7 linked regions of the Callithrix jacchus genome follow. The main gene of each other region encodes a partner of the protein of the gene in region 5 in a complex. Links are inferred from orthologs where the notes say so. Each region holds a gene or a part of one and is shown on either strand. Other genes may lie near its edges. The genes, in order: LSM8, LSM6, LSM2, LSM3, PRPF4, LSM7 and SNRNP200.

The links.
Region 1: PRPF4 (region 5) and LSM8 share a complex: the UniProt entries of both Homo sapiens proteins name them as parts of the precatalytic spliceosome. The link is inferred for Callithrix jacchus from reciprocal best matches to the Homo sapiens genes PRPF4 and LSM8.
Region 2: PRPF4 (region 5) and LSM6 share a complex: the UniProt entries of both Homo sapiens proteins name them as parts of the precatalytic spliceosome. The link is inferred for Callithrix jacchus from reciprocal best matches to the Homo sapiens genes PRPF4 and LSM6.
Region 3: PRPF4 (region 5) and LSM2 share a complex: the UniProt entries of both Homo sapiens proteins name them as parts of the precatalytic spliceosome. The link is inferred for Callithrix jacchus from reciprocal best matches to the Homo sapiens genes PRPF4 and LSM2.
Region 4: PRPF4 (region 5) and LSM3 share a complex: the UniProt entries of both Homo sapiens proteins name them as parts of the precatalytic spliceosome. The link is inferred for Callithrix jacchus from reciprocal best matches to the Homo sapiens genes PRPF4 and LSM3.
Region 6: PRPF4 (region 5) and LSM7 share a complex: the UniProt entries of both Homo sapiens proteins name them as parts of the precatalytic spliceosome. The link is inferred for Callithrix jacchus from reciprocal best matches to the Homo sapiens genes PRPF4 and LSM7.
Region 7: PRPF4 (region 5) and SNRNP200 share a complex: the UniProt entries of both Homo sapiens proteins name them as parts of the U4/U6-U5 tri-snRNP complex. The link is inferred for Callithrix jacchus from reciprocal best matches to the Homo sapiens genes PRPF4 and SNRNP200.

Annotation. Positions count from the first base shown.
Region 1 is NC_133512.1:88,804,829-88,808,328, forward strand, and holds part of LSM8 (LSM8 homolog, U6 small nuclear RNA associated), read left to right. Parts: intron 1-358; coding exon 359-399; intron 400-2,938; coding exon 2,939-3,066; intron 3,067-3,500. UniProt on the Homo sapiens protein: Plays a role in pre-mRNA splicing as component of the U4/U6-U5 tri-snRNP complex that is involved in spliceosome assembly, and as component of the precatalytic spliceosome (spliceosome B complex).
Region 2 is NC_133504.1:50,820,501-50,824,684, reverse strand, and holds the start of LSM6 (U6 snRNA-associated Sm-like protein LSm6), read left to right. Parts: upstream 1-1,384; 5' UTR 1,385-2,017; intron 2,018-4,184. UniProt on the Homo sapiens protein: Plays a role in pre-mRNA splicing as component of the U4/U6-U5 tri-snRNP complex that is involved in spliceosome assembly, and as component of the precatalytic spliceosome (spliceosome B complex).
Region 3 is NC_133505.1:39,306,746-39,310,887, forward strand, and holds the start of LSM2 (U6 snRNA-associated Sm-like protein LSm2), read right to left. Parts: upstream 2,801-4,142; 5' UTR 2,701-2,800; coding exon 2,698-2,700; exon of another isoform or gene 2,566-2,697; intron 2,097-2,565; coding exon 2,029-2,096; intron 1-2,028. UniProt on the Homo sapiens protein: Plays a role in pre-mRNA splicing as component of the U4/U6-U5 tri-snRNP complex that is involved in spliceosome assembly, and as component of the precatalytic spliceosome (spliceosome B complex).
Region 4 is NC_133516.1:71,157,568-71,161,748, forward strand, and holds the start of LSM3 (U6 snRNA-associated Sm-like protein LSm3), read left to right. Parts: upstream 1-1,381; 5' UTR 1,382-1,422; coding exon 1,423-1,443; intron 1,444-4,181. Other genes in the region: XPC (DNA repair protein complementing XP-C cells), read right to left, coding at 1,029-1,131. UniProt on the Homo sapiens protein: Plays a role in pre-mRNA splicing as component of the U4/U6-U5 tri-snRNP complex that is involved in spliceosome assembly, and as component of the precatalytic spliceosome (spliceosome B complex).
Region 5 is NC_133502.1:161,587,893-161,592,041, reverse strand, and holds the start of PRPF4 (U4/U6 small nuclear ribonucleoprotein Prp4), read right to left. Parts: upstream 2,801-4,149; 5' UTR 2,712-2,800; coding exon 2,685-2,711; intron 1,911-2,684; coding exon 1,730-1,910; intron 1-1,729. UniProt on the Homo sapiens protein: Plays a role in pre-mRNA splicing as component of the U4/U6-U5 tri-snRNP complex that is involved in spliceosome assembly, and as component of the precatalytic spliceosome (spliceosome B complex).
Region 6 is NC_133523.1:2,193,180-2,197,468, reverse strand, and holds the start of LSM7 (U6 snRNA-associated Sm-like protein LSm7), read left to right. Parts: upstream 1-1,489; 5' UTR 1,490-1,493; coding exon 1,494-1,583; intron 1,584-1,665; coding exon 1,666-1,756; intron 1,757-4,289. Other genes in the region: SPPL2B (signal peptide peptidase-like 2B), read right to left, coding at 1,360-1,425. UniProt on the Homo sapiens protein: Plays a role in pre-mRNA splicing as component of the U4/U6-U5 tri-snRNP complex that is involved in spliceosome assembly, and as component of the precatalytic spliceosome (spliceosome B complex).
Region 7 is NC_133515.1:6,142,603-6,146,102, reverse strand, and holds part of SNRNP200 (U5 small nuclear ribonucleoprotein 200 kDa helicase), read left to right. Parts: intron 1-882; coding exon 883-981; intron 982-1,344; coding exon 1,345-1,497; intron 1,498-1,609; coding exon 1,610-1,709; intron 1,710-1,893; coding exon 1,894-2,030; intron 2,031-2,592; coding exon 2,593-2,676; intron 2,677-2,776; coding exon 2,777-2,950; intron 2,951-3,500. UniProt on the Homo sapiens protein: Catalyzes the ATP-dependent unwinding of U4/U6 RNA duplices, an essential step in the assembly of a catalytically active spliceosome. Plays a role in pre-mRNA splicing as a core component of precatalytic, catalytic and postcatalytic spliceosomal complexes.

The sequences.
Region 1 (3,500 bases), on a different chromosome or scaffold from region 5:
GGCGCCGGCAAAACTGCTGCGCCGGCCACAAGAGTCACGCTGGCGACCCGTAGGGCTCCTTCACTGGGAATCTTCTGGTCCGTGAGTGACGAAAATTCATCTGAAAGTGTGGTGTCCTCTCATTCTCCGTGCTTTCACTGGGAGCTACAATCCTGAGCTGTTAGCGACCAGTCATCTTGGATCTTCCTGCCTTGGCGTCCCAAAAACTTGTAACGTTTTTATGTAGTGAACTTAGTGGCTATGTTGATCACTTTTACCTAATTGTTGTATATCTTCTAATAATTCAAATCATTACCTTGCCAGAGTCTGTTTTCAGATTGTATTCCCTAAGAAACACTTTCCTTGATTCAGTTATCAGGAACTGTTGCTGTTATTACATCTGACGGGAGAATGATTGTGGTAAGTCTTCCAAATTTTCATTCTCTGCTTTCCTGTACGTTTATGGGTTGCAGGTTTTATGTGAAACCTCTGATCTCTAATGCCTAGACGCCACATTACACTGGTAGTGCAGTTTTATTATTTAACTATCACTTTGCTGTCAATCCACATTTTCCTTAGTAAACCTTGTGTCTTACCTACAAGGCTTCTAGGAGCTAGAATAATAGATTCTGCCATCAGAGAGCTCCTAGTCTGCAGACATGTATTAAACCTACTTATCTCCCTCTTCCATTTTTATTTTCTTCCCCATTCAGTACTACATGAATCAGAATTTTTTGAAATTTTGCATACATTTAGGAACTTTTTTGTGATTTAGATACTATTGATACCTACCTATCAACGTTTAAGGCTTGTATGCAATCTTAATACTGTTTGCTTTTAGGTTGTATGACATGTCTTCTATAGGACACTTGATGATTGACTCTCTATATACACATATATATGTTCAATTGGCTTGTTTCTTAAAGTTGTTTCTCCCTTGCTAATTTATGTCATCTAACAAAGATAAAACATTCCTATGGCAATACTTGTATTTGGAATTTCATTTGAGGAATTTATCTCAAGATATTTGGGTGCTTGCTTATTTCTTCACTTACAATTAATACACTTAATTCTTTTGAAAGAATTTTAAGGCTACTAAACTTTCTCTGTTTTCTAACCTTACCTAGTTTCTTAAATAATTTAATCCCCTATTTTTCCATTCTGCAATTTTGTTTTTGTTCATTTTCTTTTTAAGCCTTGCGATTTTTTCCCCTCAGTGGGTCCTTAGTGACTGTTAATAGTCAAGGTTCTAGCTTTGTCATTTACTAAATTTATATCATGTGCCAGGTGCATATGTGCTACATTATTTAATGTACAGCACAACCTTGTGAAGAATAAGTACCCCTCTATTCTAGATTAGGAAACAAGCTCAGAGAAGGTGAGATACTTTCCCAGAGTCACAAGGATAGCAGGTGACAGAACTGAACTGGGATTTAAATTTGGTTTGACATCAAAGCCAAGGCAAATTGCCTGGCTTCTTTCTTAAAATTATATCTGTTAAAATCATGTTTTCTTAGGTGCCTCACATTGTATTTTTTCAAATACGGACAGTTTGACATATTTTAATCGCAACACTTCAAGAAGCCTATTGCTATTAATAGATATTTTCAATTTTTTTAATTTTGTGAAAACCTTAACTTTAAATTTTCTAATTTTTGTTAACATAGTAGATAATAAACTGGGAAATCATTTTTAATTTTAAAAAAGGAAAGCAATATAAAAAGAGCATCTTAAGTTCTAAAGTTCAATAGTTCTTTTTTCTTTGACACATAGTTTATTTGATGGGATAGTTATGTGTAAAATGAAGCCAGGAGGTTATGAATGGGTGTTTATGATAACCATTTGTTAAATAGTTCAAGAAAGACTTCATATTTTCTCTTCCAAATTATAGTTTTCTTTTTATTTCATTCTCATTTTATATATTTTGGTTTTCAGAAGATAAAAGTTTAGTAGCTTGAGAGATTTAACCAATTAAAATCAATGTTAGTTGATACTTCTTCAGAAACTTGGATACCATCTGAGTTAATCTGTTGTGCTAGACCCATGTCTTTTTTTATTCAAAACTAAGCTTTCATAAAACCTTCCCTGATTATTTCCTTCAAATTCTTGTTCTAATTAGTTTAGTCACATTTGTATCTACTGGGAGAATTAAATAATAAATGTATTTGTTATGCATTAAATAATACCTGTGAGACACACAGAACTCTGGTAACTAGTAAGAACTCATTAGGTGTTACCCGTAACTACTAGTTAAATTTTTTATGTATTTATGGGACTGATTTGATTCTCTGAAAAATGGCAAATTATATTTACTTGTGTATAATAGTAGAAGGTAATGGTTTAGTGGTCTGGCTCAGGAGCTAGCCTTTCGTGGTTCATCTCCTGGCTCTGCTACTTACTGCCCATGTGACCATAAGAGACACCACTCTGTGCCTCAGTTTCTTCTTTGAAATGGGAATAATTATAGTATTAAAGGGTAGAGATGAGTTGCGACAATATGTACAATGTGTCTAGCACAATACCTAGTGCTAGTATGTAGTATACAGTGATACTGTTACATTACTGTAGTTGGTATGTATGATTCTTCCTTATTTATATAGAGTTACCTATCATTTTATTTTAAATCTCCTTTGTTTTAGTATATACCTTTGGCTGTCGGACTACATGAGCTTTTATGCTACTTACTTGGAAATACACTAGTACCTAGGTGTCCTTTGTAACTGTCATCAGCTCTGCAAATGAGTGAGATGTGTGGTGCAGATCCCTCCACCCCAGCCAAACAGCCAAGGGGTCAATTTTGTATCCTCGAATACTGTTAGTTATAAAAAAGGCATTTTATTTGACATTGTATAGGTACTTATATTGGAGTAACTAATAACTAAAATGATTGTGAGGTTGAATTTACACTTTCAGGTAAACCAGAATATTTCTCTTTTTCTCCTGGATATTTTCTTTACAGGGAACACTAAAAGGTTTTGACCAGACCATTAATTTGATTTTGGATGAAAGCCATGAACGAGTATTCAGCTCTTCACAGGGAGTAGAGCAAGTAGTACTAGGATTATACATTGTAAGAGGTGACAATGTGTAAGTAAAATATATCTGTTAAAATTATAAATGATACTCCCTTGATTTATGGAGAAGAGGTTTTACCCAGAATAGTCTACTGTATTATCTATACATAGTTAATAGAATCTTGCATTCATTTCTTTTATAAATATGGCTTTTCTTATATTTGCATAAAGTAAGGCAAATCTATACATTTTATGTCAACATTTCTTCAGGTTTCAACCAAAGCTATCTCTACAAATCAAACATTTACCTGAGATTTGCCCATTTTTCCACTAGTTAAATAAGTAGCCTGGATAGAGTCCAGAAAGGGCCCTGCCTTATATTAAATACTTCATTAAAGAGGTTTCTTAAAATGTTCTTAAAAATACCCAGAATTTTAGAGGAACATATTTCTAGAGTCCAAGGCAAAAGTTTGAAAAATGTTTATGAAATCTTTCATTTGAACAATT
Region 2 (4,184 bases), on a different chromosome or scaffold from region 5:
CCACCCCGTATGTCAAGCCGGCCCCATACCCAGCTACTCCCTTTGGAGAAGATTGCAGCTGCTCCTCAGATGAACGAGGCCTTTAAACTCCTCATGGCTCCCTACCCACCACACCAGTGTTAATCGCTCCATCAGGGGTCTGTAGGAAAGGGAAAGAAATTTGAATCAAAAACTTACTGTTTTTTGAATAATTGAAACAACCAGTAGGGAGTGTGCAATTTGATGTCTTTTGCAAAGAATGTTTTTAGGGACAGGGCTTTTTATCCTATCATGTTTGTTCTTTGCAACTAATTATTTAATTTTAATGGCACTTTTCTTAAAATTTTTATTTACATTATATTTTATATTGCAAGAACTTCAAATACAGCCCTCTTAATAAGTCTGTAACGGTTTTGTCTTTACCCAAACTGAGCTTTTGTAGAAGGATATAAGGAAGTCTCTATTCTTTACCAAATCACATCCAGTTGCTTTCTGTCCCTGATACCAAGGGTTCATTTCTTCTGCCTTTAGCCAAAAGAGGGATACAAGGGAGAAACTCTTTATCTTAGAAAAACATTCTGCATCTTAGATTTTATAACACTTAATGGAGTTAAGGATCTGTGTTGGAAGATCTTATCACTTTGTGTATAGTGTTACAAATCATAAATAAAATAAAGTATAAGTTTTCAGCTGATGAAAGTATGTGACAGGGAAAAAGGAACCAAGTCCTGGTGTGACTGTTCTCTTCTTTTTCCTCTCCAATCCTATTAATAGCAAGAGTATTGAGAATTCATGCAAAATTCCAAACCAAGTTCCCACAGGTAGCACTTAGCTAATGTCTGCACACCATTTTCAATTGGAACTAGTTTATAATGTAACACAATTAACGTCATTATAATTCGGAGTTACTTGAGTGGTTTTAATTATTTTCGTATCAATTAACATTGCCATGGAAACAGTCTCTTGCTAAAATGGCTTAAGTCTTCACACATTTAATCAATATCCAGAGGCAGATTTAAAGACTTGAGGTGTTTGTTTTATTTATTTGTTTGCTTTAAACTATTCAAGGACGTTTCTGGGTACACACGGCAGTTACTTAAAACTGTAAATTCCAGTTTTCTATGACTTCAAGTTATTTTTTACACTGCAAATAAATCCTGCCCAAAAGATCACTTCTAGCTTTCTGGATTTTTGTTTTTGTTTTGTATTGAATTGTATTTGTGTTGTATCCGGATTTCTGTTAGAGGAATTCCTTTGCACCAATTTCGCCACTGGACAAACCAACCAGGATTCTTGGATTTGAGCGCTTTGGCGCGGACCGGCCTTTTCGGCCCCAGCGGGCTGCCGTAGCAGAGAAGAACACTGATTGGCTGAGGCAGAAAAGTACCGCTGCCTCGCCGGTTTCGGTTTCGATTCGATGAAGTCCGCGGAGCCCGGGCTCTTGGGGCACCTGTAGTGAGGATTTTGGATCCCGCCGACGAGGTGAGCCGCGTGGCTGCGCGAGCCGAGCAGCCTCGGAAACGGCCTGCGGGGAGCGGGCTGGGGCTCCGGGGAGGGACTGCTGGGTGGTGGGTCCCCGCGAAATGCCGCTTCCAAGCTCTGTGTGCACGTAATGGCCGGGAGTGATCTGTTGGTGGGCGCCTGGAACCGCCGTCAGCGAGGCGTCTACACTGCGCCGAGAGGAGCGGCACCGTCCCGGCTGGCGTCGATTTGGCGTTCGAGACTGCACGAAGTTGTTCGGAGGTTATCGAAATTCCCCAAGGGAACCCCAGCGCTAATCCCAGGATTCGGCGGGAAAGCGGATCCCGAATCTAGGCCTAGGCTTTGCCTGGATTCTTCCAGGCTTCAGAGAATTGCGAAGCCTACCCTACATCGGAGTGGCTGCGCCTAACCACAGGAATTAAGGACTGGACTAACCTGAATTACCGAGTTGTCTAGTCGGGGAACCCCTTGTATGGTCTTAAGTCCTATCGCCAGAGGTTTTCTATGTGTCCGCGTTTGTGCCCCGGCGCGTGAATAGCGGGCATTTTTGTTTAAGGTGTGTAGGATTAGGATGATTGGAATTACCCCACCCTACTGCTCTTAGTAATACGTGACTGTTGTAGAAAAATTGCAAACATAGAAGACTTTAGTGAAGAAAATAATATTCGCTGAACCCTTTCACCTGCCATCTTTTTCTCCTGTATGTACCAGCGTCTACTTGGACTAGGACTGTTCATGTTTAATTACTTAACAGTGTAGTTTTCCAGTTCCATTTAAAAACTCTTCCTAAATATTATTCTAATTTTGTATCTTCTTTTGAGTGGCTGGCCCATCATTGTGGATCCCAGTGTAGGTCCCATAAATTATTCAGTCATTTCCCGACTGTGGGACATTTGGTTGTTTTTGAATTTTTGCATCATCTTAGCATCCCAGATCATATTTTGATAAACATTTCCCCCCCATCCTGTAGATTATTTCCTTGGACTAGATTCTCAGAAGTGAAATTATCAGATAGATGCTGTCATCCATAAGGTCTTTAGGCTTTCATGCACATTGCTGCAGTGTTTTCCAAAAAAGTTTTAGAGGTGGTTGGCAGTTTTACTTGCTTGAATATTGTGCAGAAATCTTGAGAGGCTTATGTCTGTAGTGTGTATCACTGGAGTTAACTGCAGTAGACTGCCTGAATGTTAGAGCAGGAAGAGACCTAAGTGGTCATCTAGCAAAGCCCCCTTATTTTGCAGATGAGGAACCTGGGGCCATGAGAGGTGAGATGAGTTATCCAAGTCACACAGCCAATTAAGTAGCAGAGCTGGGATTAGAACTGAGGTTTCCTGCCTCCCAAGTGAGTACTCTGTGCTGCATCAGGCAGCCTCTCACTGAACTGTGGCATAGTAGATATTAGAATTTAAAAATATGTTTACATCACTTGGATTATTCTCTTTTTTAAAAGTGTACTAACAGATTTTAATCATCAGAGGGATCTTTAGTACTGAAAAATTGTAAAGTGATCATTTTCATGGCCAAGGCTAGAAATCCGTTATTTAGAATGGCAACCCCTTCAAGGCTTTGACAGTTGTTTTCAGATTCTCTATATGTTAGAATAAAAAAAAAATCCCTGATAAATTATAATCTACACTCCATCATTTGGTTAGATGTAGGTGTTGGTTCTCATTTGCTATATTTGGGAGATTTCTTTAAAACTCCTCACTTTAAGGCCAAAGAACAATGTTGCTGGTTTTTAAATTTTTTTTATTTTAGGGCTTATAGCAGAGATTCTCAACTTCCATGGACTTTTTGGCCTGGACGCATTTGTTGTGGAGGGCCGTCCTGTGCATTGTAAAATGTTTAGCAGCATCCCTGGTCTGTACTCACTAGTATAGTAGTAGCACCACCTTCCTCAGTCATGAGAGTTCATGGTGTCCCCAGATATTTCCAGCTGTCCCTGAGCATGGTGGGGGAGGACAGGGGGGATTGCCCCTAGTTGAGAACCATTTGCTTATAGAAATTATCTGGAGAACTTTATAATGTAATGTATAGTGCCTTTGCCTCAGTAGATTCAGGAATTTGCATTTTAACAAGCATCTCTAGATTTGGATACAGCTGGTTCTTGAATGACAGAAACAGTTGTTTTCTCCGTCTTTGGTGCTCATTATAGAGATTACTTGATTAGTATTTGTTGAAGTACACACTTGATATTACTAGTCACTGTACCCATAGTTTGGGCTGGTGGGGGCTGGACAGGAATTTTGCTTGACACTGGCTTTGAATGTCACTTCCACAGACTTGGACAGTATGCTTAGATACCAGGGTTACCAAGTGAGTGAGATATTTTCCCTGTCCCCAAGAAGCTTAAAATTCACTGTGGGAGATCAGTCAGCAAATGGAAACATTACAAAACGGCCTGATAAGGGCCACGACTGAGAGTGGAAAGAGGTGCTTTCAGTGGACTAACTTCGCCTTTGGAAGAGAGGGAGAGAAGAGGCCCCAGCTGCTCGGGAAGGAGGGATTGTCTTCAAAAGACAGCCCGGCTCTCCACTGTGTCAGAGGGAGGAATTTAGAGAGCTGTCCTCGGTGTCTGATTGCCTCGTCAGACACTGCTATCTTAGTATCACGCTGCAATTACTTGGGTTCTAATGTTGTTTCCTTGCAATTTTTGCTTTTCAATTTTTTCCACGCTAAACTGTTAAGTACTCTAGAGTAGGTAAAAACTTACAGGTAAACAT
Region 3 (4,142 bases), on a different chromosome or scaffold from region 5:
GCGTGCCTATAATCCCAGCTACTCAGGAGGCTGAGGCAGCAGAATTGCCTGAACCCAGGAGGTGGAGGTTGTGGTGAGCCGAGATAATGTCATTGCACTCCAGCCTGGGTAACAAGAACGAAACTCCGTCTCAAAAAAAAAAAAAAAATTCTCAAGTATTTAAAACCCAGTGTCTGGGCCGTGCAAGGTGGCTCATGCCTGTAATCCCAGCACTTAGGGGTGATGAGGCGGGTGGATCATTTGGGGTCTGGAGTTTGTGACAAGCCTGGCCAACATGGTGAAACCTCATCTCTACAAAAAATACAAAAATTAACTGGGCATTGTGGCAGGCAGCTATAATCCTACCTACTCGGGGAGGCTGAGACAAGAGAATCACTTGAACTCGGGAGGCTGAGGTTGCAGTGAGCCGATAAGAGTAGTGTTACTGCACTCCAGCCTGGGCAACAGAGTCAGACTCTTGTCTCAAAAAAAATAAAAATAAAAAAAATAAAGGATAAACAGAAAACTAATGCCTGCACTGCTTTTAAATCTCCTCCCACTTGTATCTTTTATTTTAATCTTATTTCAGGACTTAGACTAAATGCTGTATTTTTGAGAGACTTCTCCCTGTCCTTCTAGCCCCGTAGAACCTTCTATCAGAGAGTCTATATTCTTCCTAATGGGTGCTTCTCATTTTGTAGAAATAACATTTGCTGTTTATGGCCTGTTCTTTTTTTGTTTTGAGATGGGAGTCTCACTCTGTCGCCAGGCTGGAGTGCAGTGGTGCAATCTTGGCTCACTGCAACCTCCACCTCCCGGGTTCAAATGATTCTCCTGCTTCTGCCTCCCTAGTAACTGGGACTACAGGTGCGGGCCACCACGCCCAGCTAATTTTTGTATTTTTAGTAGAGACAAGGTTTCACTATATAGGCCAGAATGATCTAGATCTCTTGACCTCGTGATCCTCCCACCTCAGCCTCCCAAAGTGCTAGGATTACAAGTGTAAGCCACTGTGCACCATGCCCATCCTATGGCCTGTTCTTTTTTGAGACACAGTCTCCCTCTGTCACCCAGGCTGGAGTAAAGTGGTATAATCATGGCTTGCTGTAGCCTCGACTTCCTGGGTTCAAGTGATCATCCCACCTCAGGCTGGGATTAGTCCCTAATAACTGGGACTACAGACATGCATCACTACACCTGGCTAATTTTTAAATTTTTTGTAGAAATAGAGGTCTCACTATGTTGCCCAGGCTAGTCTCAAACTCCTGGACTCAAGTGATCTTCCTATCTCAGCCTCCCAAAGCACTGAGGTTACAGGTGTGAGCCACCATGACCAGCCTAGTATTTACTTTTTTTTTTTTTTCCCAGATGGAGTCTCACTCTATCATCCAGGCTGGAGTGCAGTGGCACAATCTCAGCTCACCGCCATCTCTGCCACCTAGGTTCAAGCGATTCTCCTGCCTCAGTCTCCTGAGTAGCTGGAATCACAGGCGCCTGACACCACACCTGGCTTATTTTTGCATTTTTAGTAGAGACAGGGTTTCACCATCTTGGTCTGGCTGGTCTTGAACTCCTGACCTCGTGGTGACCACCCATCACGGCCTCCCAAAGGCTGGGCTTACAGGTATGAGTCACCTCGCCCAACCCGAGAGCCAGGGAGCCTGGCTACTAGTACTTACTCTTTAAACTATATAATGCTTTGTATTGTTTTCCAATACACAGCATAATCCCAAGCTTATCTGTAAATTTAAGGCACAAGGCACTTATTTTTAAATTTTTCTTAGAGATGGGGTCTTGCTCTATTGCCTGGGCTAGAGTGCAATGGAGTAATCATTGCTCACTGCAGCCTCAAACTCCTGGGCTCAAGCGATCCTCCCTCCTCAGCCTCCCAAAGTGCTGGAATTACAGTACTGAGCCACTGAGCCCTACCCATTTATTTCTTCCTTATATCTTCCACCTCTCCCAGCCTTCAAATAGTTCTCAAATTAAAGAGGTTCCAGGGCGTTGGGCACACCCACCCCCAACAGACTTGTTGGAACAGGTACCTACCTCAGGTCATTCTTGAGTTCCACGACCACATCCTTGCCCACAAGGGACTTGAAAAAAGAATAGAAGAGCTATTGGGTGAGAGGGGGAAAACCATCATGTGGGAAGGAACATGGTAGGGAGGAGTGTCCCTTGCCAGTATTACCAAACACTGGTATTGTGAACCCCACTGCATCTCTGACAGTTCTCAAAACTTCACAGGAAAGAATAATCGGCTGACAGAGGTGAAAGGCTGGAGCCTATATTATTCCACACACTGCATTGAGCCCATCACTTAAAGTTCCAGAGAGGCTCTGCCCTGCATACGTCGGCCCAAGTGTGCTCTCTCAGTCGGCCACCTTCCTGGGGTCCCTGCCCACTCCTTTCAATGAACTGCAGAAAATATCCCACCCCCACCCGCCGGAAGCCTGCTTGGTCTCCGGCAGATTAAGTGCTCTAAGGTCTAACTTTTCTGTCTCCCGCTGTCCCCATTGACTCTCTCTCAGGGTTGAGTTTTTTTAACCTCCCATGGAAAAAAAAAAAATTCCCATTTGCTTTCAGGTATCTCCTCAACGAACTTGAGGCACAAGACTAAGGACCTAAAACTCCAGCCCAGGGGGACAAAGGCCAGACTCCCCGCCCCAACCGTCCGAGCTCCCCGAGGGCACCACCTTTTGACTTCACAGTACCCACCATGGTTTTGGCGCCGCGGGCAGCGGGCCGGACCGGGAAAAGATCAGGCTGCCGCCAGCAGGTCTGGGGAAACCGAAGCGGGAGCCCGCGCGTGGGGCGAGGCGGGGCCGCGCAGGCGCAGCGTGAAAGGACGTAGACAGCTCCAAGCACTGAAGGGGAGAGCGCGGCCGACTTGTGGCTGGGGAGAGCACTCTGGGTAGAACCGAAGGGAGGAGGAAGCCGGGAAAGGGGCGGGGTTCCTGCATTCCGACTTCCTCCCGGGCTGGCCGGCTCCCATTGCGCACGCGCGGACCCGGGCCTGGGCTGCTGGGCGGGTGGCGGGACTCAGCTCCTCAACTCAAAGGATACTGTTCTTTTCCAGGATCCTGTCGTCCATAGCGTCAAGTCCTCCTGATTTACACACACTCCTAATCGAGAATTGTGGGGAGTTTGTGAAGATTATGAAGTATGCACTTTTCTATATTGGTTAAAACCATAAAATGTAAAAGTTTTGAATCTTTTTTTTTTTTTAATTTTTTATTGGATTTTAGGTTTTAAGGTACATGAGCAGAACATGCAAGACAGTTGCGTAGGTACACACATGGCAGTGTGCTTTGCTTTCCTTCTCCCCTTCATCCACATTTGGCATTTCTCCCCAGGCTATCCCTCCCCACCTCCCCCTCCCACTGGCCCTACCCTTTTCCCCCCAATAGACCCCAGTGTTTAGTACTCCCCTTTCTGTGTCCATGTGTTCTCATTTTTCATCACCCGCCTATGAGTGAGAATATGCGGTGTTTCATTTTCTGTTCTTGTGTCTGTTTGCTGAGGATGATGTTCTCCAGATTCAAACGACACAAACTCATAATTTCTGATTGCTGCATAATATTCCATGGTGTATATGTGCCACATTTTTCCAATCCAGTCTATTATCAATGGGCATTTGGGTTGATTCCAGGTCTTTGCTATTGTAAACAGTGCTGCAATGAACATTCATGTACATGTGTCCTTAGAGTAGAACGATTTATAGTCCTTTGGATATATACCCAGTAATGGGATTGCTGGGTCAAATGGAATTTCTATTTCTAGATCCTTGAGGAATCGCCACACTGTCTTCCACAATGGTTGAACTAATTTACACTCCCACCAACAGTGTAAAAGTGTTCCTTTTTCTCCACATCCTCTCCAGCATCTGTTGTCTCCAGATTTTTTAATGATCGCCATTCTAACTGGCGTGAGATGGTATCTCAATGTGGTTTTGATTTGCATCTCTCTGATGACCAGTGACGATGAGCATTTTTTCATATAAGTGTTTTGAATCTTAAATTAAGTTGAAAAAAAGAAAAAAGGGCCAGAGGCGGTGGCTCACGCCTGTAAGTAATCCCAGTACTTTTGAGAGGCCGAGGCGGGTGGATTATGAGGTCAGAAGTTCAAGAGCAGCCTGGCCAAAATGGTGAAAACCTGTCTCT
Region 4 (4,181 bases), on a different chromosome or scaffold from region 5:
GGGAGGAGGGGTCACTCTAGGCAGAAGGAACATCAAAGGAAAAGACTCAAGAAATAACTTGGCATATTTGAGGAAGAGAAAGGAGGCCAATAAGGTGGGTATCTGGCAAGGAAACAAGTGGTAGGAGAAACAGGAGAGGTAGCAAGAGCCAAAACATGTAGCATCTTGCAGGCCAGGTTAAGCCAACTGGATTTTAAGCTAAGAGCAATGGGAAGCCAAGGAGAGTTTAAAATAGGAACACGGCATGATTAAAAAAAGAAAAAAAAGATTATTTGGGTTGCTGGATGGAGAACTGGGAGGCCAATAAAGAGGAAACTGCAGTCACTCAACTGAAAGGTGATGGTGGCTTGGACAGGGGCCATGGCCATGGAAATGAAGTGGACAAATTTAAGATACAGTCCGAGGCTGAACTGACTGGATTTGCTGATGGACTGATGTGTGCACATAAGAAAAAGGCAGGCTTTGCTTTATAACAAGTACTGAGACTGGAAAAACGGAGGAAAGGATAGATTTAAAGGGGAAAACCATGAGCTCCGCTTTGCCTGTGACAAACATAAGAAGCCTATCCGATATTCACGTGGGGAAGTCAGGTGGGATCCCACTGTGGAACTCCGGGTGAGACTCCGCTTAAGTGACCATTCGGGAGTCACCACACTGCATCACTCTACGTCCTGGTCCGTCTGTCTGCCTTCCTGGGACCCAAATAACTGCCTTCTCCACTTTCAGCCCTGAGCATCTGCGCTGTATCCTCTGGGCAACCCGGAGCGGAAAAACGCTACGCATGAGCTTGGGTCGGGCGAGGCTCCCGAGGAATCGCTCTGCGTGCGGAGGACAAAGGGACAGGGACAGAGCGGAGGGCCGGACGCGGCCTGCCGAGCTGCTCCCGCGGCCGCCGTCACGTCCCCGCGGCGTGGAAGACGCGCAGTAAACTGCATCCTGTCTCCACGTCTGGCCTCCCACCCCAGCCTCCCGGCCTCCTCCGCCCTGCTGCGGCGTCTCCCGCTAAGCCCGCTGGGCCTCGCTCTCACCCTCCTCCTCCTCCTCACGCCGGGCCTTGCTCTTGCCCTTGGACTTCTGGCTGCGCGGTTGGCGTCCCCGCGGCTCCCCGCCGGCCGCGCGCTTCCGAGCCATGTTGTTCTTCGGGGCAAAATCCACTTCGTGAGTGACGCACCTGGCCGCTGTGCACCAGAGCGCGGGCTCCGCCCACAGGCGGGCGCGTCTAGCCCTGTCCCTTAGTTGGAGGCCTAGCCACGCCCCCGAAGGAAGCTCCGGCGATACCCGTGGCCACCAAAAACCACAGGAAGCAGGAAGGAGAAAAACAGATTTCTCTCTACTTCCGGTGTATTATATCCTCCTGTTTCCGGAGATCCGCGTTGCTCTTGTGTTCTCGCGAGAAGCGGGAAAGAGCGCAGGGTTTGAAACATGGCGGACGACGTAGACCAGGTGAGTGTACTTTAAGGGGGTCGCTTCGAGCAGCTTCGCGTACTAGGGCTGGTTTTCCCAAACTTAGGAAAAATGGCCAGTCGTGTCTCCTCCTTCCAGGTCACCATGGTCCAATCCGCCCCGTCCTTTCCGTAACCGCCCCCTGCTCCGAATTTTGCTGCAGGCCCTGAGATCTTTTCCGGTTAGAAGCCCACCTGACTACTATTCATCACACTCTTCAATTCATTTTTTTAAATCTGTAAATTATTATCCTTGCCTGCCTCACGGAGCTGTTAGGATTCCAATAGAAAGCCTGATGATGAAGTTAGAAGTTCATATCATTACTGAGCGCAACCATTATTTATTCATTTAGCATATTTAGTGAAATTCAGCTTTGTATGGTTAGACACTATTCTAAGGGCCAGGGACACTGACATCGACATAGAAGTGATCCCTGCCATTACTTGGAGCTTATATTCGTGAGGAGAACAGATAAAAGTAAATATAAATATGTAGGAGACATAGGAACTGTGATGTGATGTGAAGGAAACAAGGAACTAGTTTGCAGAATAACAGATGGCCCTAGAAGCTTTTTCACCTTGTCTTTCTCTTCCTCAAATATCTTTGGAGATCAAGCCACAAATTCTTAAGCTTTCTACTGAAATCTCACCTCCTCAGAGAGGACTTCTCCTGCGCCAGTAGCACACGCTTTACTCTTCTTACCCTGCTTCATTTTTCTTCAGAGCGCATTATTATTTCGTATTAAATATATGCATCTGTTTTTAATGTATAACCCTTCCCACTAGAATTTAAGTGCCATAAGAGCAGGTTTTTTGTTTTGTTCTTTCTTCTGTCCTTAGGGTTTAGAACAGTGCTGGAAACACTCAACAAATATTTACTTAATGAGGCCTCTTTGAAAAGTCAATATTTAAAGCTACAGTGGGCATCGTAGACAGAGGCTTAGGTAGCAGTAGGGTTCTGTCGTGTGCATATTTTGACAGTATTTAATTATTTATTTGTATGCCTCTCCACATTACAATGAGCTCCTTGAGAGTGGAGATTGTGACTTCTATATCGTTATAATCTAACAGTTGGTTATCTGATCCTTTAACAAACACCTGTTGAACTAGGGAAGTAGGGATCAGTCGAGTCAGGGTTTTGTTTTTTCTCTCATCTGACCTTTTGAAGCTTTAGAGCCTGTTGCATTCAGTCACCTTCCTCCACTGGCCTCATGTACTTAATGAAGATCTACTTGAATAGTCTTTCTCTTAATGGCTGCAACCATTCGACCCCAAGTCATCCTAGCCCTGACCTCTAAAACCGACGTTTCCAGCAGTTCTTTAATAATACTAATAGGAACCATTTCTTTTCTTTTTCCTTTTTTTTTTTTTTGGACAGAATCTCACTCTGTCATCCAGGCTGGAGTGCAGTGGCACAATAGATCTCAGCTCACAGCAACTTCCACCTCCTCAAGCGATTCTCCTATCTCAGCCTCCCGAGTAGTTGGGACTACAGGCGCGTGCCACCATGCCTGGCTAATTTTTCTGGTTTTTTTTTTTTTTTTTTTTTTTTTTTGAGACGGAGTTTCGCTCTTGTTACCCAGGCTGGAGTGCAATGGCGCGATCTCAGCTCACCGCAACCTCCGCCTCCTGGGATCAGGCAATTCTCCTGCCTCAGCCTCCCGAGTAGCTGGGAATACAGGCACGCGCCACCATGCCTGTAAGTTTTTGTATTTTTAGTAGAGACGGGGTTTCACCATGTTGACCAGAATGGTCTCAATCTCTTGACCTCGTGATCCACCCGCCTCGGCCTCCCAAAGTGCTGGGATTACAGGCGTGAGCCACCGCTCCCGGCCAATTTTTCTGTTTTTAGTAGAGATGGGGTTTCGCCATGTTGGCCAGGCTGGTCTCAACTCCTGACCTCAGGTGATCCGCCTGTCTCAGCCTCCCAAAGTACTGGGATTCAGGCGTGAGCCACCATGCCCAGCCAGTAGGAACCGTTTATTACTATTTTCTGTTTACCTGGCACTGTTGTAAATACATTAACTACTTTAAACTTCTCAAGAACCCAGAAGGAAGGTTGTGGCCTCCTCAATTACAAATGAAGAATCAGAATTACAGATGGCATGATTTTTAATCTTAGTTCATTAGAGTCAGGTCACAGCCAGGAGTTGAACCCAGACTGCCTGACTCCAAAACCAGTGCTTTCTTTTTTCAAGACAGAGTCTCACTCTGTTGCCAAAGCTGGAGTGCAGTAGCACGATCTTGGCTCACTGCAACCTCCGACTCCTAGGCTCAAGCCATCCTCCCCCCTCAGCCTCTGAATAGCTGGGACCACAGGCATGTGCCACTGTGCCTGGCTAAGCCAGTGCTTTCAACCAGCGTTTTATACTGTCTACTAAATATATTCATCTTACTGGCCAGTTGGCAGCCTAAACTCAACCTGTGCTAAATTCATAATCTTCCCATTAACCTACACCTCTACTTAGCATTCTGACTAGTGTATGGTAGACATTGAGTGAGTGTTTTTCCAACGATTACATAATATTTGAGATAAAGCTAAAGTCCCTGAGAGCCCATACCCTGAAATTGGGTCAGGCAGTTTGATTTTGAGGGAACAAAGAATAGTCATGATTATTTTGCTGTGTAACTCCTTTTTGTGTATGTGTGTTTTAACCTACATTTATGTAGCACATATTATATGAAAGGCACTGTTCTAAGCCGTCATAGATATCACTTAAGCCTCACAACAACAGTATT
Region 5 (4,149 bases):
TAAGAGTACAGAACATCTTTTGCAAATGAGTTATAGGCTGTCATCCAGAAGATGTAACAGAAACATTATTGTAACAGTGGCCAAAAATATTTATTCTCTAAAGCAGTCCCAGTATAGGAATACTTAACAAATAATTAACTAGTAAACTGGAAATAATTACACTGTAAATGAGTTTCACAACAATAAGGATTTCTGGATAATCTAGCAATAGTTTTGAAACCCACACCAAAATACAAGTGTGATAAAAAATGAGAGGTACAGTGGTGATGTTCTGTTTAAAAACAACATAAAAAGTTAAAAAAGTTGGCCAGGCGCGGTGACTCATGCCTGTAATCCCAGCACTTTGGGAGGCTAAGGTGGGCAGATCATGAGGTCTGGAGACAGAGATCATCCTGGCTAACATGGTGAAACCTTGTCTCTACTAAAAATACAAAAAGTTAGCTGGGCATGGTGGCACGTGCCTGTAGTCCTAGCTACTGGGGAGGCTGAGACAGGGGAATTGCTTGAATCAGGGAGACGGAGGTTGCAGTGAGCCGAGATTGTGTCACTGAACTCCAGCCTGGGTGACAGAGCAAGACCCCATCTCAAAAAAAAAAAAAAAAAAAAAAAAAGAGTTTAAAAAGTCATTAGGCTATAGTGCATGTGTTTAGAAAAGAAAATGTGTAAGAGGATCACTGAGAAACTTGATTGATGCCCTACTGCACAGGAGTCTTCACTTTATGCACTTTGGTATTGTCTGGATTTCTTATGACAAATAGGCATCATTGTATTTAAAATATATAGTGGACCTCACATTACTGACATGGAAAGATATCCTCAATGGTATATAAAATGAAAAATGCAGGTTATTCAACAATTTATATATATCATGTCTTCATTTAGAGAAAAAATTACCTATTTTTATATCTGTATTAAAATTCTCAGAGAGATATACAACCAATTAATTAAAATATACAGGATTTTCTACTTCACACACTCATATGTTGTTTCACCTATTAAAAGAAAAATAACAATTACTTTTTTTTTTGAGATAGGGTCTTGCTGTGTTATCCAGGCTGGAGTGCAGTGGCACAATCATGGCTCACTGCAGTCTCAACCTCCCACTTCAGAACCCCAATTGGCCGGGAACACACGCATGTGTCATGCCTGGCTAATTTTCTACTTTTTGTAGAGATGGGGTATCACTATTTGCCCAAGCTGGTGTTGAATTCCTGGGCTCAAGCCATCCTCCCACGTCTCAGCCTCCCAAAGTGCTGGAATTACAGGTGTGAGCCACTGGGCTTGGCCACGATTACTTTTATAACAAAAAAAGAGATCTCAGCCAGGTGTGATTGCTCACATCTCTAATACCAGCACTTTGGGAGGCCGAGGTGGGTGGATCATGAGGTCAGAAGTTGGAGACCAGACTGGGCAATATGGTGAAACCCCATCTCTACTCAAAATACAAAAATTAGCTGGGTGTGGTCGTGCATTCCTGTAATCCCAGCTACTCAGGAGGCTGAGGCAGGAGAACTGCTTGAATCAGGGAGACGGAGGTTGCAGGGAGACGGAGGTTGCAGCGAGCCGAGATCGCGACACTACTCCAGCCTGGGTGACAGGGCGAGACTCTAGCTCAAAAAAAAAAAAAAAGAATTGAAATTTTTTTACATTATAAAACTGGTGATATTTAAGTTTAGGAAGGTATTCATTACATCAAGAGGTAAAGATGAACTCACAACTTGCATCTTACCAGAGGTTATATTAATATTTCCAGCTTCGATTCCTGCTTTAAGTCCTTCTTTCCCCAAAATCCCAGATTCTCCTTTGGCCAGACGCTCCCTCTCCTTCTCTTCCAAACTTCCATAATAGATATGTGGCTTCTTCACAACCGGAGCAACTAAGTCATCAGGTGCTTTAGTTTTGGTTGCCTGCTAAATCAAAAATCTGACTTAAACTAACGCTTAATCTTAACAATTTGCTGGACTTCCCCAGAGGATGAAGCTCACCCTGAGTTTCACAGTCCTACTTCCTCTGTAATTGAAAGGACAAATTGGACACTGCTTAAGATGTTCTTCATTGATTTGAGGAGATGAGGGTAGGGGGAGGGTGTTTCAGTCCCTCACTTTGGTTGACAGGATTGATAAAACTAGTGAGGTTCTCTCGGGTATTTTTCTATCAAGGGTTTGCTCTGCAATCTGTTTACTTCATTCTGTTGGAAGTGTGCAATCTCGTGTTTTACGATGCTTCCAGGGTTACTGCTCATCACTGGGGAAGTACCAAATATAGATGAAATAACTAACGCGGTGCTAAAGAAGAACAAGTTACAAGATTACTAGCGTATATATTTCAAACGTTTCTAGACCTGAGGCAGTAGGAGTTAGTAGGTCTCATTAAAGTTCTGAGATCTGCCAAAGGCATCAATCTTGGCCAAGACACTTCCCTATTTCAGAGCACCGTTACTGGATCAGTCCGAAGAGATGTTTGCCCTTCAGGGATGTAGTCGGAGAGGTGCAAATAAGCTATAGTCCACGAAAGCGCTTAGGGATCAGGAAAACGGTGCTCGGCTGTCTAGGACACGGAGTCCCACAGCCTTCCTCCTCGGCCCTCCACCGCCTTCTCCCGTTCCCTAACGGCCCCTTCCCGCAAGGACCCCCTTCCCCCTTCGCGCTTCCTGCCAGAGTGAGCTGAGATCCCGGGCTCTGTACCGTGGAGGAAGCTCGCGAGGAAGCCATGCCGGGCTCTGGAGAAAAGCTACAGCGAAACCTGAGGTCTCCGATTCAGATCGTCCACCGCGCGCCCAGCAGAGCGGATGAGCATCACCGATCGGAAGTGCGTCACCGACCGGACGTGTGCCGAGAGCCGTAGCCGCGCCCGGAGCGGCGCGGAGCATGATGGAAGTCGTAGTAGGAAGCGGTGTGATCGTATTGAGGGGCATGCCTCCTAGAACATCGGAGAAAGCTCGCGCAAGACGAGATTCTGCTGAGAGAGAGGCTCCAAGTAGTCTGGGAAGTGTAGTCCAGTTGGCTTACCAATAGTTTCACTGGGGGAGCGGAGGTTCCGGGAAGGGGCTGAACAGGCTTGAAAAGAGGTAGGTGCGTTGCGTCGCGCGGCTCGGGGCTGAACTCTGGAGCGAGTCGAGGACTTCCGGGGTCCGCCGTGCCACCCGGGCCTACCGGAGCGTTTAAGTCTTCCTGGAGCTGAAGACCTTGTTACCATGGAAATCCTCGCCAGGGATCCGAGGTACAGGCTTGGAGCTAGGGGACAAGGGCTGTTTTTCTCCACAATCCGGAAGTCTTCTTAGGGGCCCCCTCTGAGCTTGATGGCTCCGCGGTGGATTTAGGCTGCTAGAAGAGCTCCCTAGTGCCAAAGTCAAATAAAGACCCGGCGGAAGAGCTTCGGCCTGACTTTGTTGATTTGTCTAGAGCCGGTCGTTGTATCAGATTGAGAGTAAGATGATGGATAGGAAGGTGTCAGATAGCTCTGTACGTCCCTGTGCCCTGCTGGATGCTGGGGAATTAGAGACAAACAAGGTAAGTTTTTTTTTTTCTTTTGAGACGGAGTCTTACTGTCGCTCAGTCTGGGAGCGCAGTGGCGCGATCTCGGCTCACTGCAACCTTCGGTCCACCCCGACCCCGGGTCAAGCGATTCTCCTGCCTCAGCCTCCCGATTAGGTGGGATTACCGCCACCGGCCACCGCGCCCGGCTAATTTTTGTATTTTTAGTAGAGACGGAGTTTCACCATCTTGGCCAGAGTGATCTTAAACTCCTGACCTCGCGATCCACCCGTCTCGGCCTCCCAAAGTGCTGGGATTACAGGAGCGAGCCACCACACCCGGCCAGGATAAGGCTTTTATCTCCACGTGGGAGGTGGATGATTCTCAAAACATTGAGGTTTCCCTAGCTGGCCAGATCCCCATCCAACCCCCTAGAAAAATTACAGTAATAATAGATTTTATTTATTGCACATTTTTAAAATGCCAAGTTATGTTCCAAGAGCTTACTCTTTACTCTGCATTATATTATTCACCAACAATAGCAGAGTCAGATACAGATGAGGAAACTAAGGTCTAGTGAGAGATGAAACTAATTATTCAAGATCAGTGGTGTAGTGGGATTAACCTCTACAGCCACACTATTAACTGTTACTCTATACTTCTTCCTAGTGGAGAG
Region 6 (4,289 bases), on a different chromosome or scaffold from region 5:
CTGGGAGGTGGAGGTTGCACTGAGCTGAGATGGCACCACTGCACTCCAGCCTGGGCGACAGAGCAAGACTCCCTCTCAAAACACACACACACACACACACACACACACACACACCTGCTTTGGAAAACCCTTTCCAGGCAAACTCCAGGAGGGAACCTTCCTTCCACCTCTGGTTCTTCCCTCCTTCCAAACGTCTGGGGAGTTGTAGGTCCCTGGCTGCAAAATGGGGGGACGTCCAGGGGGCCGAAAGAGCAGCAGGGGGTGGGGTTGTTAGAAAGCTTCTGCGGAGGGCTTCCAGGGTAAGAGAAACGGCCAGGGAGCCCACTGCAGGCTTCTGATAGCCAGGTCACAAATGCACGGACACACTCATCTGGATGTGACAGGGTCACTCCTGCTGTGTCGAGGCTGGACTGGGGACATGGGGGACAAAGGCAGCCACAGCAGGGGGAGGACGGCGGAGCTGGAGGAGTGGGGCTGAGAGAGCGCCGGTGGCAGCGACGCCTTAAGAGTGAGAACTCGGAGAGAGGAGTCAAGGTTAAGGGCCGCATTTGTAGGGCTGCGCTCCTAAAGTCAGGAGAGAGGGAAGATTTGGAAATAAGAAAATAAAAAACGCAGTTAGGGCAGTGCTATCTCGTAGACTGTCCCCACGAGAACCTGAGATGCTTTGCAGCAAACGACACACGATTAACATAACGAGGGCGTGCTGGCCCTGGGCGCTGGTCACCCTGGGCATCATCTCCAGAATCCACACCATCCTCAGCCTTCCTGCGGACGAGCAGCTGACGCTCCAAGCAGGGGATTCCCTTGTCCAAGGTCACAGACTAAAAGATGGAGCAGGGATGCAGCCCCAGAGCAGGGCTGGGCTCTTGGCCACTCCAGGGCGCTGCCAGACACTCGGGGACGCGCGGGACGCCTCTGGGTTCCCCACGGCACCCCCTAGGGTGAGGCTAGCCAGCACCCCGCCCGTTCCGCCTACGGGGAAACTGAGGCTCGGCGCGGGGTGGGCAGCCGCCTGCCCAAGGCCACAGAGCCAGAGACAGGCGACCCCGGCGGCGGCTGGAGACCCCGAAGAGGACAAGCAGAACGGAGGGATGGAGTGGGCACAAGCTTCAGACCCGGTAGGAAGTGAGGGGCGCTGCGGCGGCGCAGGGCCTCCGAGGCAGGGACGGGAGACGAGCCGGGGACAGCCCCGCAAGGTCACGGCCAGGCCCCGGCACCGCCGGCCAACGGCGCGGTGACCGCGGATCCCCGAGGCTGGAACCCCCGGAGACGACCTGGGTCGTTCCTGGGCGTAGCCCGGGGGCCGAGAGGCCCAGAAGCCGTAGCCTGCGGGGCCGTCGGAACCAACGCCGCGCTCACCTGGGCCGCGAGGAGCAGAAAGGGCGCCACAAGCCGCGCCAGCGCAGCCGCCGTCGCCGCCGCCATGTCGGCCGGTGCCCACCGCAACCGTCGACAGATGTTTCCCAGCAACGCCGCGAGACCCCGGGCCACGCATGCGCCGCGCATGCGCCTGCGAAGCCGGGAGGGGGTCAAAGGGCGCGGGGTGGCGCCTGCGCAGAGCGGCGCGGCGCGGCAAGATGGCGGTGAGCGCGCGGCGGGATCCGGAGCTGGGGGCGTGGGGCTCGGGCCGCGCTGCGCGCCTCACGCGCTCTGCTTTCCCCGCAGGATAAGGAGAAGAAGAAAAAGGAGAGCATCTTGGACTTGTCCAAGTACATCGACAAGACGATCCGGGTGAAGTTCCAGGGAGGCCGCGAAGGTGAGGAGGCTCCCGCCGTCGGCACCTCGCCTTTAAAATTCTGAAATAAACCCAGGAAGAGCGATGATGAGGACGCATGCATGCGGAGGCGCCGCTTTTATTTATTCTTTTCTTTTTTTTTTTTTCTTTTTTTGAGACCGAGTCTCGGTCTGATGCCCAGGCTGGAGTGCAATGGCGCGATCTCGGCTCACTGCGACCACCGCCTCCCGGGTTCAAGCGATTCTCCTGCCTCGGCCTCCCGATTAGCTGGGATTACAGGCGCCGGCCACCACGCCCGGCTAATTTTTGTGTTTCTAGTAGAGACGGGGGTTTCACCATGTTGGCCAGCCTGGTCTCGAACTCCTGACCTTAATTGATTCTCCCTCCTCGGCCTCCCAAAGTACCGGGATTACAGGCGTGACCCACCGCGCCTGGCCTCGCAGGCCCCTCTTTAGACTACCTTATGCGGTATTCCTACTTACACCGGGAGGTAGGAACTGGTATGCCCATTTTGCATGCAAGGAAACTGAGGCACGGGGCGGGAAACAGACGGAACCCAAAGTCACAGTGGCATAGCAGGGATTGGGATTTCAGGGTTGGCCTTCTGAGCAGTCCTGTGTGTCCAAGGGCTGCCCCAGCTCCCCACAGATCTCCCGGCTTCTGTTTCTCCCCCACCCATGTCAAGATCTCTCCCGGCACCAACAGTGTGGACACATTTGGGGCCGGATCATTCTCTGGGTTGGGGCCGTACCTGGGCACTGCAGGGTGCTGAGCAGTATCCCTGGCCTCCACCAAGTCGCGACAACCTAAACAGCCTCAGACAGGGTGGGCGCAGTGGCCCACACCTGTAATCCCAGCACTTTGAGAGGCTGATGCAAGCAGATCAGGAGCTCAGGAGTTCGAGACAAGCCTGGCCAATACGGTGAAACCCTGTCTCTACTAAAAATACAAAAATTGGCTGGGTGTGGTGGTAGGCGCCTGTAATCCCAGCATTTTGGGAGGCTGAGGCGCCAGATCACTTGAGTTCAGGAGTTTGAGACCAGCCTGGCCAACATGGCAGAGCCCCGTCTCTACTAAAAACTCAAAAATCAACCAGGCATAGTGGCACATGCCTGTAGTCCCAGCCACTGGGGAGGCTGAGGCAGGAGAATCGCTTGCGCATGAGAGGCGGAGATCATGCCACTGCACTCCAACCAGGATGATAGAACTAGACTTTGTCTCCAAAAAAAAAAAAAAAAAAAAGCAGAAAGGTCTGGTTCCTGAAGGGCTCACCTGATGCCCTCAGGCCCACCCAGGCTGTTTCCCTCCAGATTGGCTTACAGTCTGCTGGTTCCCGGGCTTCAATCACAGCTGCAGAGTTCCTTGTCTTCCTCACGTCACCTGACTGCAAGAGTGACGTCTTGTCCAGTCAGTCACATGCCCCAGGGGTGGGGATTCCGAACCTAGCTCTCCAGGGGAGAGGAACCTTGGGTGCACCCACCTGCCTCGGTGCTCACGTCTGTCCCCTTGAGAGGGGACTCTGGTCAGGCCAGTGCTGGGCACCTGAACAGATGTGTCTGGCCCCATTGTGTAGGTGATGAGTTTCTTTTTTTTTTTTTTTGAGACGGAGTTTGTGCTCTTGTCACCCAGGCTGGAGTGCAATGGCGCGATCTCGGCTCACCGCAACCTCCGCCTCCTGGGTTCAGGCAATTCTCCTGCCTCAGCCTCCCGAGTAGCTGGGATTACAGGCACGCGCCACCATGCCCAGCTAATTTTTGTATTTTTAGTAGAGACGGGGTTTCACCATGTTGACCGGGATGGTCTCGATCTCTTGACCTCGTGATCCACCCGCCTCGGCCTCCCAAAGTGCTGGGATTACAGGCGTGAGCCACCGCCCCCGGTGGTGATGAGTTTCATTTTGCAGGAGAGGAACTTGAGAGCACAGAGAGCGAGCTGGGGAGGGGGGCCCAAGCCTGGGCAGTCAGACCTTCTCTGTAGGCAAAGGCTGGTCGGCAAATACCTTCAGCTTTGCATCCCAGATGGTCTCTGAAACCAGTGAGCTATGCGGGGAGAGCGGGAGACCTGCCGTGGTCAGCGCTGGAGCGGGAGCGGCGCGTGTGGTGCTGGGCCCTGGGACTTTCACTACGGGATGGGCAGCGGGCCAGGTTGGCCTGAGGGTCATGGTTTGCAGACCCTCACCCCGCACCCCTCCCTGCACATGGCTGCCCTGGGTGTGCGCGGAGCGGCCGTGGGCCAGCTCACTAGGCCCCGCCTTTCAGGCAGACAGAATAATGCCCAGGGTGCCTGCTTCCTGGGATTGGGGGATGGTACAGTGGGCAGCACCCTAAGAGGTGTGGGTGGGTTGGTGTCTGGAGAAAGCACCTGAGAGGTGGCAGGGGTGAGAAGTAGGGTGGGGCAGCCACTGGGAAGCCCCTCAGAGAGCGCAAAAGTGCATCCTCGGCAGGAGAGGCCTGGGCCGGAGGAGCCTGCAGGGGAGGGGTGAGGCGTCCCAGGCAGGGAGGATGGGCCAATCACCAGACACTGGGGAGCAGGATCAGATGGCAGAGGTCACTGC
Region 7 (3,500 bases), on a different chromosome or scaffold from region 5:
CACGCCCAGCCCATACATGGTTGTTTAAGTCACTGGGGTTAATACCTACCGTCTAATAGAATTTCTTGAATATAACTAAATAGGAATAAGTGGGGTGCTTTGAAAACATTACGGAGTGCCTTGGAGTTCTCGGTAGATTTGGCTCCTGAAAGAGAAAATGAAGCCTGGACTATATACCAGGGCTGGAAGAAGGGATCGCACAGGGAGAGTCAGAGGAAAGCACTGGACTAGGAGCCAAGACTTCTGAATTTTAGTCCTATATCTTGGCAGGTCGTCTTGCCTCAGTTTCTCCTTCTATAAAATGAGGCGATTTCATTAGGTGATTGCTAGGCCTCTTCCTACAGTGTAGTTAATAGGATTTGAGGATTTTAAGTAGCACCGAACTGCTTTGCATTTAGCAGTTCATTCATGTAACAGTGCTCATTATTGAAGTACCTGCTTTGACTGTGACACTGTGCCAAATATGCCTACTGCAGCATATGAGTGAATAGAGTGGTGAGCGGGCTAAGTGTGGTCTCTTCATTCCTAGTCACCATCTGCTTTCCCAGGCATGCCTCTGTAGAGCTCTTCTCTCTCGTTAGTTATTTGCTGGTTTTGAGTATTGATTGTGTGTGTCAGAGAGAGGCTATGATCCATTTGATTGCCATTGTAGCAGCCTAAGGTAAGAAATAGAAAGTAGATGCATCTAATAAGTCTGTGCCAAGCAGCCATTCTATTGTGTGTCCACTGGGATAAGGCTGACCTTGGTTCCAGTAGGCTCTTGGTTTCACCCCAAAGCCATTTCTCTAACTATCGAGCTAATTTAGGGTAACTTGAAGGAGAGGTTCTGTGGTGATGCAGAATCAGCTCCAGATCATGGTTGAGTTGGGGCCATTTCCACAGGAAGGTGATGAAGATGTGTACGGGGAGGTCCGAGAGGAGGCATCTGATGATGACATGGAAGGGGACGAGGCTGTTGTACGCTGCACCCTCTCAGCTAATGTAAGTTCAATTTGCTCTTTCTTATTGCTGCAAGGCCAGGTTACTTCTGAGTGTTAGTACTTCTGCTTCATGCTTGGGTCCTATTGCATTTATTGAGCCACCTTTTGCTAGACTGACGTGTAATAAACAATGTCTAGAGTTTCTTAAGATTTCAGTTGGTTTTCTTCCTTCCCAAATATGTATGTTGATAAAATCTTGGTCTGATGTGCTTCTGAACTCAATATTCCAGAGTGTTTCCTTCTGGAAAGTCCTCAAAAGAAGGTGGGCTTGTAGGGTGGCAAGAAGAACTTGGATGCAGGGTGGTGGGAAAGTGATCGAGGCTGGCAGAGACTTAGTGAGCTAAATGCCTACTTACTTATATAGCTCGTAGCCTCAGGTGAACTGATGAGTTCCAAGAAGAAGGATTTGCACCCTCGGGATATTGATGCATTTTGGCTACAGCGGCAGCTCAGTCGTTTCTATGATGATGCCATCGTGTCACAGAAGAAGGCAGATGAAGTACTGGAGATTTTGAAGGTATGGCCAAGATAACAATAGTTGTATGTTTACTATGTCTTAGCACATGGGGACAGCGTATGAAGTGGCAGATGGCTTTGTCCTTAATGGTGGTGTTACCTTCTCTCTGCAGACGGCCAGTGATGATCGGGAGTGTGAGAACCAGCTGGTACTGCTGCTTGGTTTCAACACCTTTGATTTCATTAAAGTGCTGCGGCAGCACAGGATGATGAGTGAGTATATGATCGGCTCTTCCTGCAGAGTAGGTACATATGTGTGCATATGTGAGACAGAGATTCTTGTTTTCACAGCTTTTGTGCTTGTTTCTTTTATTTTTCTTCTTCTACCTTAAGAATGAAGGTTGATTTTTGCATTTCTTCCTCCTCACTGTTCCTTTCTTCCTTTTGTTGCGGGTAGTTTTATACTGTACCTTACTGGCCAGTGCACAAAGTGAAGCTGAAAAGGAAAGGATCATGGGAAAGATGGAAGCTGACCCAGAGCTGTCTAAGTTCCTCTACCAACTTCACGAAACAGAGAAGGAGGATCTGATCCGAGTAAGGATTGGGTTGGTTTATCTGTCTGATTTCTCAGCTAACAGTGGCTAGAAGATTGCAGCATGAAGCTAAATTCGTATTAAAAGTGGAAGTTGAAAAAGTGATTTTTCTAAATTATTTGGGGTTTATCAGTACATACACGTTAAAATCAGCATATCCTCAGTTGGTTTGGTTGTGAGAGCAGTGATCTGCTGCTGTCTTTCACCAGCACCAAGAGGACCTTTATTGTTTATTTACACAGTAAACACGTGGTGTTTACTAAATAGAGTAACAGAATACATGTGCTTGCTCAACAGAACCCACGTTTCTACCCCTCAGGGGCAGCCTCAATTCTTAATTATAGAATGTCTATTTCTGGCAACATCTTACTGTGCATTGTCCCTTTAAATGTGTTTGTTTGCTTTGATCACTCTGGTGGTCCCCAGGTAAAGCGTTGTCTTTCTGTTTGCAGACTTACTAGTCAGCACCTGTGACTCAAGTATGGCTAAGCAGGGACAGAAAAGGACAAGAATCTATGATACTGATGAATTGTTTCTGTGATTTTTATCTTTCTCCACCACAGGAGGAAAGGTCTCGGAGAGAGCGAGTGCGACAGTCTCGAATGGACACAGATCTGGAAACCATGGATCTTGACCAGGGTGGAGAGGTAGGATCCAGGGCGATTTATTTCCCAGATCTCGATGGATGGAAAACTCACTTGCTCAGCTTGCTCACCTCCTTTGCATTTTTGTCTTTCACATTCCCAGGCACTGGCTCCACGACAGGTTCTGGACTTGGAGGACCTGGTTTTTACCCAAGGGAGCCACTTTATGGCCAATAAACGCTGTCAGCTTCCTGATGGATCCTTCCGTCGCCAGCGTAAGGGCTATGAAGAAGTGCATGTGCCTGCCCTGAAGCCCAAGCCCTTTGGCTCAGAAGAAGTAAGTGCATTGCTTTCTTCAGTTCACTTCCTGGTTTGGATTTCAACCATTGACCAGAATGTAGCCTTGTCTCTTATATAGTTTATTTCAAGACTGAAAGCTGCAACAGAATTTTTCCATTCTGATTTTGAGCCTGGGGTGACAAAATTGACATCTGGTCTGACCTTTTTTTTTTTTTTTTTTTGAGATGGAGTTTCGCTCTCATTACCCAGGCTGGAGTGCAATGGTGTGATCTTGGCTCACTACAACCTCCGCCTCATGGGTTCAGGCAATTCTCCTGCCTCAGCCTACTGAGTAGCTGGGATTACAGGCACACGCCACCATGCCCAGCTCATTTTTTGTATTTTTAGTAGAGACCGGGTTTCACCATGTTGACCAGGATGGTCTCAATCTCTTGACCTTGTGATCCATCCGCCTCGGCCTCCCAAAGTGCTGGGATTACAGGCTTGAGCCACCATGCCCGGCCTTGGTCTGACCTTTAATGGAGAGTTATGCAAAGAGATTGCCTGGGAACAAAATCCTGGCAATCCCACAAAAACATCTGCTCAAG